2 linked regions of the Xenopus tropicalis genome follow. The protein of the gene in region 1 interacts with the protein of each later gene in a pairwise test. Links are inferred from orthologs where the notes say so. Each region holds a gene or a part of one and is shown in the gene's direction. Other genes may lie near its edges.

Evidence for each region. The genes of interacting proteins can lie anywhere in the genome.
Region 2: the proteins of lsm2 (region 1) and dnaja1 interact in a two-hybrid assay, tested with the Homo sapiens proteins (2 studies listed by BioGRID and IntAct). The link is inferred for Xenopus tropicalis from reciprocal best matches to the Homo sapiens genes LSM2 and DNAJA1.

The regions. Positions count from the first base shown.
Region 1 is NC_030684.2:75,103,095-75,107,127, reverse strand, and holds lsm2 (U6 snRNA-associated Sm-like protein LSm2), read left to right. Parts: upstream 1-1,233; 5' UTR 1,234-1,371; coding exon 1,372-1,374; intron 1,375-1,838; coding exon 1,839-1,906; intron 1,907-2,389; coding exon 2,390-2,420; intron 2,421-3,304; coding exon 3,305-3,364; intron 3,365-3,481; coding exon 3,482-3,607; 3' UTR 3,608-3,940; downstream 3,941-4,033. UniProt on the Homo sapiens protein: Plays a role in pre-mRNA splicing as component of the U4/U6-U5 tri-snRNP complex that is involved in spliceosome assembly, and as component of the precatalytic spliceosome (spliceosome B complex).
Region 2 is NC_030677.2:94,451,940-94,456,070, reverse strand, and holds the start of dnaja1 (dnaJ homolog subfamily A member 1), read left to right. Parts: upstream 1-1,331; 5' UTR 1,332-1,423; intron 1,424-4,131.

The DNA.
Region 1 (4,033 bases):
GGAGACATATTTGATAAATGGGGAAAACCCTAATTTTGTAGGCAATTATGAATAATATACGGTGCTGGTTTCCCTTTGGGCTAAACATTAATCCTATTTGTAAAAATGGCCCCTTTATTGGAGCTCCCTATAGATCCTCTCTCTTCTCTGACCATGTTTGAAATGAAGAGTGGGCGTGTCCTAACGGTCCCTGCAAGAAGCACAGTAGGAGGGGGAGAGCCAATCACAGACCTGCACTCACACAAGCAAAGACAGGCTTCAGTTCCCTATCAGGTCAGCCTAGCTGCTGATTGGTTCCTATCCTACAGTGCAGTGTATAGAGGGCCGCTGGCTCCCCAGCTCATCCAGAGAATTCAGCCAGCAGGAAGTGGAGCAGATGGGGGGGACTAGTGGGGTTTTGGGGGAATTTCTCAATAAATCTGTCTGAAATACAACTTTTTTAAGCACATTCCTTCTATATCTAGAGGAGTATAATTCACTGGCACATTCATAATTTTTATAGGATATGTCTCCTTTAACAGTAACTAGCCCAGGTATGGACAGCGTAACTCCTTTTAGCTATCTCGTAACCCTCATGCCTTGTACCTGGAGTTGGTAATTATTGGTCCTTAACATTACAATTGATGTTTGTTGTGCAAGAACTGATAGTTTGTGTTTGTGGGTCAGAATGCAGTTCCAGCCTCTGTAGTTACACCTGGAATCCAAAGTTGTTTAATAAACTGGTACAAGGGACATTTTCTCTGAGCAGAAGCTCAAAAAGGGCAGGAGGTGGGCAAGTGACAAACCAAAGGTTAGGGATTAAAAAAATACAAAAAAGGGATCCAAAGAACAAGGAGAGATAAATCTGATTCTTGTCTGACTGTCGCTAGTTTGGCCCTAGGTTAGAATTCTGCTGGCAGAAGAAACAATAAAATAAAAAAACATTTTAAGGTTGGACATTACAGATCTAATGTGGAGTGCCTAACCTTAATATAGTTCATTTTTATTCTACTGTTTCATAAACTAATCTATACTTTGTTACACTTAGTACCTGCTCCCAGTTTATAAAACCTGTATTTTTTTTAACGTATTTTAGTTGTTCAGGGATAAAATACGTTTAGGGGACTTCTCAAGAAAGTTACATGAAAAAAATGTTTTCTGTCCTCGCGAGATCATGATTGCGTCATCACCGTGGGACCCATTCATTCGGCCGGTGCCTGAAGCCGGCGCGCAAATTCCTGCTGCTTTAAATTCTCGCGAGATTTATGCAGAGGCGCTAGAGCGGTGAATGAGCGGAAGGCATTTGGTGTGTAGATCTGTCGTTGTCAGCGGCGTCTGTTTTGTTCTTCAGTTTCCAGATAGAGCTTGGGTGGTGCGACTGCAACAGAAGCAATGGTAACCGCTTAAGAACACTAGCGTTCCGTTACTGTTTCACGTTTTGTAGGGTAGAACCTAAGGAGTCGATAGCCATGTATTTTGTGGTGTACCAGCGTATACAGACCTGTTTGGCAATCAGTCCCCCCCCCCTATAGTCGCAAGGTCAGCTTTCTGAGTGGCCATGCCCTGCTTTGACGTTCCATGTTTTGCCTATACCAGGATTCTGGGATTTGTAGTCTTATAGCAGTGGGAGGGCTCGAATTTGGCCATCCCTGCTTTGCAACAACATTTCAATCATTTGTAACCTGATGTTAGTTGGACAGAACAACTTGTCTGTCTCTGTTATTGTTTGTGTCTTATGAGAGAACATGCTTTGCCTTGATCTGTAAAGGATCTTGGCAACATTTGTTATGTGATGTGCCTTGGGTAAGCTACAGGAGAGGCAACTGGTTTTTATAACTACTTGTTTTTATCATGTACAGCTATTCTACTCCTTCTTCAAGTCTCTTGTAGGAAAGGATGTGGTGGTAGAGCTGAAGAATGATCTGAGGTGAGTGTTTTGCCCCATGTTCTTTCTAGAATTGCTTCCCCCCCCCCCCCCCCACATGCTATACAGTCAGGCAAAAAGCTGCCACTGGTACATTTCAAGAACCTAATTTCTGTACTTTAAGGGATGTGACACACGGGGACATTAGTCGCCGCGCAACAAATCTTTCTTGTTGCGTGTCGACTAATCTCCCTGTGTGTCACAGCCCTTAAACCTAGTGCAGTGTGTGCAGTTGTGCTTTCTGCACTTGTGATGTGCCCAACACAAAAGAGGTAAGCACGGTGGGTGCAGCAGCACTTAGAGTCCCCCTGACCATTGTCAAACTTTAGAGGGCAGAGTGTATTGTGTAGACAGAATTTATAAAAACATTTTCTTGTGCTCCTGTAGACTTCACACCCTTAAATAACCACTTCTTTACCATTTAGCCATCTTTCATCCATTTAGCCTTTTGTTGCACTATTACATAAATGGTCTTATCTCTTGCAGTATCTGTGGTACTCTACACTCAGTTGATCAGGTAAGTAACTGAGCAAATATATAAATGTAGTTTATTTTCTCAGCATAATTATCAGCTCAGCCATGTTGTCACTTAAGCCTTGCAACTGAAATTGGCATAAAATCTTTCAGTGCCAGGGAAAAATGTTGGGTTGGCAAAAAAAAAATGAAAAAGTGAAAATTTTCTTTTAAATGACTTTACCATTACTGAAATTTCCACAACGCTAGGTTAAATTAAACCCTAGCAATCAGATAGCGCCTACAATTCCAAAATGGAGAGCTGCAATAAAAAAAGCTAAATTTAATTAAAGACTGCGATAATGAAGACTAGTTGCAAATTGTCTCCAATTATCACTGTCCACATCATACTAAAAGTTCATTCAAAGGTGAACAACCCCTGAAGGGACAGAGCCTTTAATAAAATGTACGCATCCTGCAGAGTATAATGTCAAACCAGGGAATATTTATTAACATAATTACTACAAGATTCTCCAAAGAGAATATTGCTCATATTTTTTTTTTTTTATACCCTAGAGGGCTTGTTTGCATAGAGGAATATCTCTGCTCTACCTGTTATCGTAGTACCTTTTCAGGTGTCTGGTGCTAAACAGTCTGTAGACCCACCTGCCCAGGGTCAAAGATGCTGTAGCACACTGATCCGTTATTGTGGTTGCATTAAGTTGCACCGACTCTTGCAATGTTTTGGGTCACTCTCAGACTGGCTGAAATGTTCCCAGTAGATGTCTGCTAATTAAGCCAATAAATCACTTTATTTAATGTGTGATCAGTGTGCTACATCATCTTTTGCATTCTGCATAGAGGAATATGTCTTGGAATAGAACTTTTGGGGGGAACTTGTGTTTTTCATTATCTCAAACAAGATTTCACTTTTTTTTTTTTTTATAGTATTTGAACATTAAGCTGACTGATATCAGTGTAACAGACCCAGAAAAATATCCACACATGGTAAGCTTTTTTTTTTTTCTTTGTATTTTTTATCTGCACCAGTAAACTAGATACTTAGCTTTTAATCCTGCTTTGAAACACTTGTTAATGTAATTATTTAAAAAATTTTTTTTTTAGTTGTCTGTAAAGAATTGTTTCATTCGGGGATCTGTGGTCCGCTATGTACAGCTCCCTGCTGATGAAGTAGACACTCAGCTTCTCCAGGACGCTGCACGGAAAGAAGCTGTACAGCAAAAGCAGTGATGTACAAGAGCTAGAAGGATGGAAGCAGGTTCACAAGCAGCACTAGGTGTTGTCAACTGCCTATATTTCTATAAGGCCAAATATAGGAGTGAGCAGCAACTTGTTACCTGTTATACAGGTTTTGCATTACATTTCTGTAAGAGACCCACACTTTTTTTTCTCATCCTAGTTCTGGAAACTTTTTTAAGTGCAGTGACTTGTGTGTTCACTTTAGAATCCAAGCAATGCATTTTGCTCTGCAAAGAAGTGGTCTCAGATAAGCAGAGTTAATTGGGAAAGACTGCCCTAACTTTTTTTTTTTTTTACTTAAATAAATTTTGTGTTAAGTCATCAGCTCATGTTTTTTTTTTTTTTTAGTGAAGCTAGTTCCTTCTGTTTGTATCTGCCTTTCTTAATTTTGTCGTAATATGATTTTTACTGGTTTAA
Region 2 (4,131 bases), on another chromosome or scaffold:
TACAGTAACACTACTATAATTTATATAATAAGCTGCTGTGTAGCCACGGGGGCAGCCATTCAAGCTGGGAGAAAAAGCACAGGTTACATAGCAGATAACAGATAAGTTCTGTAGAGTACAATAGTGTTTTATCTGTTATCTGCTATGTGCCTGTGCCTTTTCTCCTTTGAATGGCTGCCTCCATAGCTGCATAGCAGCTTATTTATATAAATTATAGTAGACTTTCTGAAGTAAACACACAACTTTTACCAGTGCAGGGCAGCAGCACATTATATTTTAGTTACTTTTATACACTTTCATTTTTTGGTGTTACTGTTCCTTTAAATATGCAGCAGTTTTGGTCTCTAGAGCCTTATTGATAGAGTTCAAAGAAGAGGGAACAAGCTGATAAAGGGAATAGAAAGGCTGATGAAATGCTATGATAACCATGTATGAATGCACCTTACAATAAACTTTTTAAAGGGAGCAAGAACCACAGAACCATTGTTGACAACCAACATACAAGGCTGGCTGCTTGTACTCATGTCCTGCAAGCCCTATTAACCGTAAATTATGCCCACCAATTTCCACTTGGTTTTCTCCTTGTAGTCCTGCTCATATGATAAGCTTAAAGCATGGGTATTCGGCATGTAATAAATGTACTTGTTTGTAATGAAAAATTGCCTTTGACCCATGTTTTCTGATTACAATATTGGACCCTGGGCAACTTGGAATTGTCTATTGCAGTCACAAAGAAGCAGCATCCCTTCTGATGAGATGACAACTTCGCTCTTTAAACGGCATGGCTATATGTTGTAAAGTTATCACGTTTCTGTGAAGCCTTGCAGCTATTCGGTAGGGAAGCTGTCCCTTAAGACAATTCCAAAGACGCAAATTTGTATAAATATATGTATGTACAATCTTACCTAGCGTGGGTACACACGAAACATCAACAGCTATACACTACAAGGCGGAGCCTGCATATACTATGACCTACGGAATACAAGTGGACGCAAATCTCTGTCGGCCATTAATATGACAGACACGTATTTTAAAAGGCTGATAAAACACCACGTATGTGAGTGTAAAAAAAATCATTAGGCGTTTTTCGTGGTGTTTAACCATACCAATTCTTAGAATTCACGTGGTCGTCAATCAATTCAACTGATTTCAGTGCCACGTAGCGGTTGGAACGCAAGGCGTGCTGCAGTGAACCGCATCAGGCACGATTGGCAGCACGTTCCCGCCCTCACTAACGCGCAGTTGGATTGGAGCCTGAGTATTTGCCGGTTCCGGACTCTAGGCGTCATCGTGGTCTCACCACCCCCTTCTCTTTCCTTTTACATAAGATTCCCGGATGTGACTCTTGTTCCCTCGATCCTTCTAGAAGCTGTTAGACGGAGAAGACCGCTAGCCACCTTGAATATACAGTGCATTATCGTGGGTATGAAGGCATTAATACATTTATTTATTGTTGATTTTGTTGTTTTTTTTATCCCAGCTAAATGGAACACGTGCCGTGTTTTCTGTCTCAAACGTAGTCGTTGCTTTTATATGAGCGAGTTTTGGATGTAAGCGGTTATTGACTATATTTTTTGCAGGTTAGAATTGAACTCTAACGTTTTTCCCTAATGAATAGTACGCCTGGCTATGATTTTTTTAAATTCCTTTGGGTTATGATATCACATTTGTCGGTCCGAGGTTATGTGGGTTCGTCTTTGGTCGGCGAGGAGGTACTGAGCTAGGTGCCTGATGTTGGCTATTCTCTTGTCACGTGACTTGGCAGTGTTGGTCATTTGACTGGGGTCAGTGTTTCATTGCTCTTTTCTCCTGATTGAAGGCTCCCTGGGGCTCAGTTTTGGATCAATACCGGGTTTTAGTGTTTCTAGGCAATGAATGCCTGAAAAGTGACCCACCTCTAATTGTGTTGCTAAGAGAATTGCATAAGTGTATCCACACATGAAATACATCATAATGCATAGGTTTTAGCGGTACAAAACCCATGGCATCCTTCAGAAGTCTGACCACTTTGTGAGAATTAACTATTTCTATGCACGTTGTCCCAAAGTGTATTACCAGGATTTCTGTAGTTTAACAGTAGTGCTGGTGTCATATTTTGTTGGTTTATTTTTTTCTTTTATTTATGATTATGATTATTTAACTTATGATTATTTATGATGATCAATGCAATTCAACTTCCTACATGTTGCAGAGAGACTGTTACCTATTCCACATATTCATTATACAATTTACACATTTACTTAAAGGAACAGTAATGCCAAAAAATGTTAGCCTTTTAAAGTAATTAAAATGTACTGTTGCCTTGCACTGGTAAAACTGGCATGTTTGCTACAGATTTCCTACTATAGTTTATATAAATAAGCTGCTGTGTAGCCATGGGGGCAGCCATTCAGATTGGGGGGAAAAAGGCACAGGGTACTTAGCAGATAACAAATAATGCTCCATTATATTTTACAGAGCTTATCGGTTATCTGCTATGTAACCTGTGCCTTTTCTTCTTTGAATGGCTGCCCCCATGGCTACACAGCAGCTTTGTTTATATAAACTAGAGTAGCCTTTCATTTTTTGATGTTACTGTTACTTTAATGTAAAGCAGCTTGGCAGACACAGACAAGGGGTCATTAAAGGAACAGTAACACCAAAAAATGAAAGTGTATAAAAGTAATTACAATATAATGTACTGTTGCCCTGCATTGGTACAACTGGTGTGTTTGCCTCAGAAAGACTACTATAATTTATATAAGTAAGCTGCTGTGTAGCCATGGGGGCAGCCATTCAAAGGAGAAAAGGCACAGGTTACTTAGCAGATAACAGATAAACCCTCATTATATGGGGCTTATCAACTAGTTATCTGCTATGTAACCTGTGCCTTTTTTCCAGCTTGAATGGCTGCCCCCATGGCTACACAGCAGCTTATTTATAAAGTAGCTTTTCTGTAGCAAAAACACAATTTTTTTTTGCAGAGCAACAGCACATTATATTTTGATTACTTTAAAACATAATAATTTTTTGATGTTACTGTTCCTTTAAGATACCACAGATACAGAGTGCACTTCCAAATGCAATCACCATGTTTTCTACCCACTGGGAAGCTCCCCCCCCCCCCCCCCCCACAGAATTCCATTGCTTTGTTGTGGTTGCCAGGGAGAGTTGACAGGATTATGGGTTGTGTGTCAAAAATGACTTCGTTTGATGCAAATCGTAAACACTGAAATTTTATTTTTTGCAATTAAGGAAGAAAGAAAGAAAATTGATATTCTCTCTTCCTAAATTGCATTTATGTTTTTGATCATGCACACCCTCATGCACAATTTATTTTTGCATTTTTTTATTTAAGTGTTGGTGCCCCATCTATATCTTCAATTTTATTTTTTGATCTGTCAGATGTTATATCTGGGATTTAGCGTGGTTCTTTTGGTGCCTCTGCACTGCACCTATTTTAGTAGGCAACTTTGAGTACCCTGAAGCTACTGCCTGGTTCAGAGATGGCAGTAGTGCTAGGGTTCTCCCTGCATCAGTAGGCACAACTATGTGCAATTCAAAACAGGCAGAAGTGCAGAGCGCAACTGTACAGAAGTGCAAGGACTGCATGTTGATGTAAGTAACTTCAAAGAAGGGTAATTTTTGTGCAACTGACTGCAATTGCACTTCATTAACTAAATGACCCCAATGGAGTGGTGACAGCATTTCGCATTTTTTTTTTCACACAAGGTCTAAGGTGGGATTTATCAACAGTCGAGTTTGTTTTCCTTTCGATTTAGGTATTTTGGCACTTTAAAAAAAAAAAAAAAAAAAAACCTCAAATTTGAGTTGTTTCAAAAACTCGAATGTCTGGTATTTATTAAGTGCAAACACCCCAAAAATTAGAATGTAAAACTTTACCGTGTAAAAGCTTGCAGATTTCTATGTTTTCTCCCAGATAATGGCAGCAGAAAAGGTTCTATGTGCCAGCTCACCCATGTGACTTCATCTCTGCAGGAAACTGCTTTGATTTGAATGCTAATTGCCTGGGTCCAGCTCACTGGCTGATTATCATTGAAAATGTGGCCTTTTGCGACTCATTTGATTTCTAACTCAGTGGGCGGGTGGCAAAATATTAGGAACTGCTCAAGCTAGTTTTTTGGTGGCTGG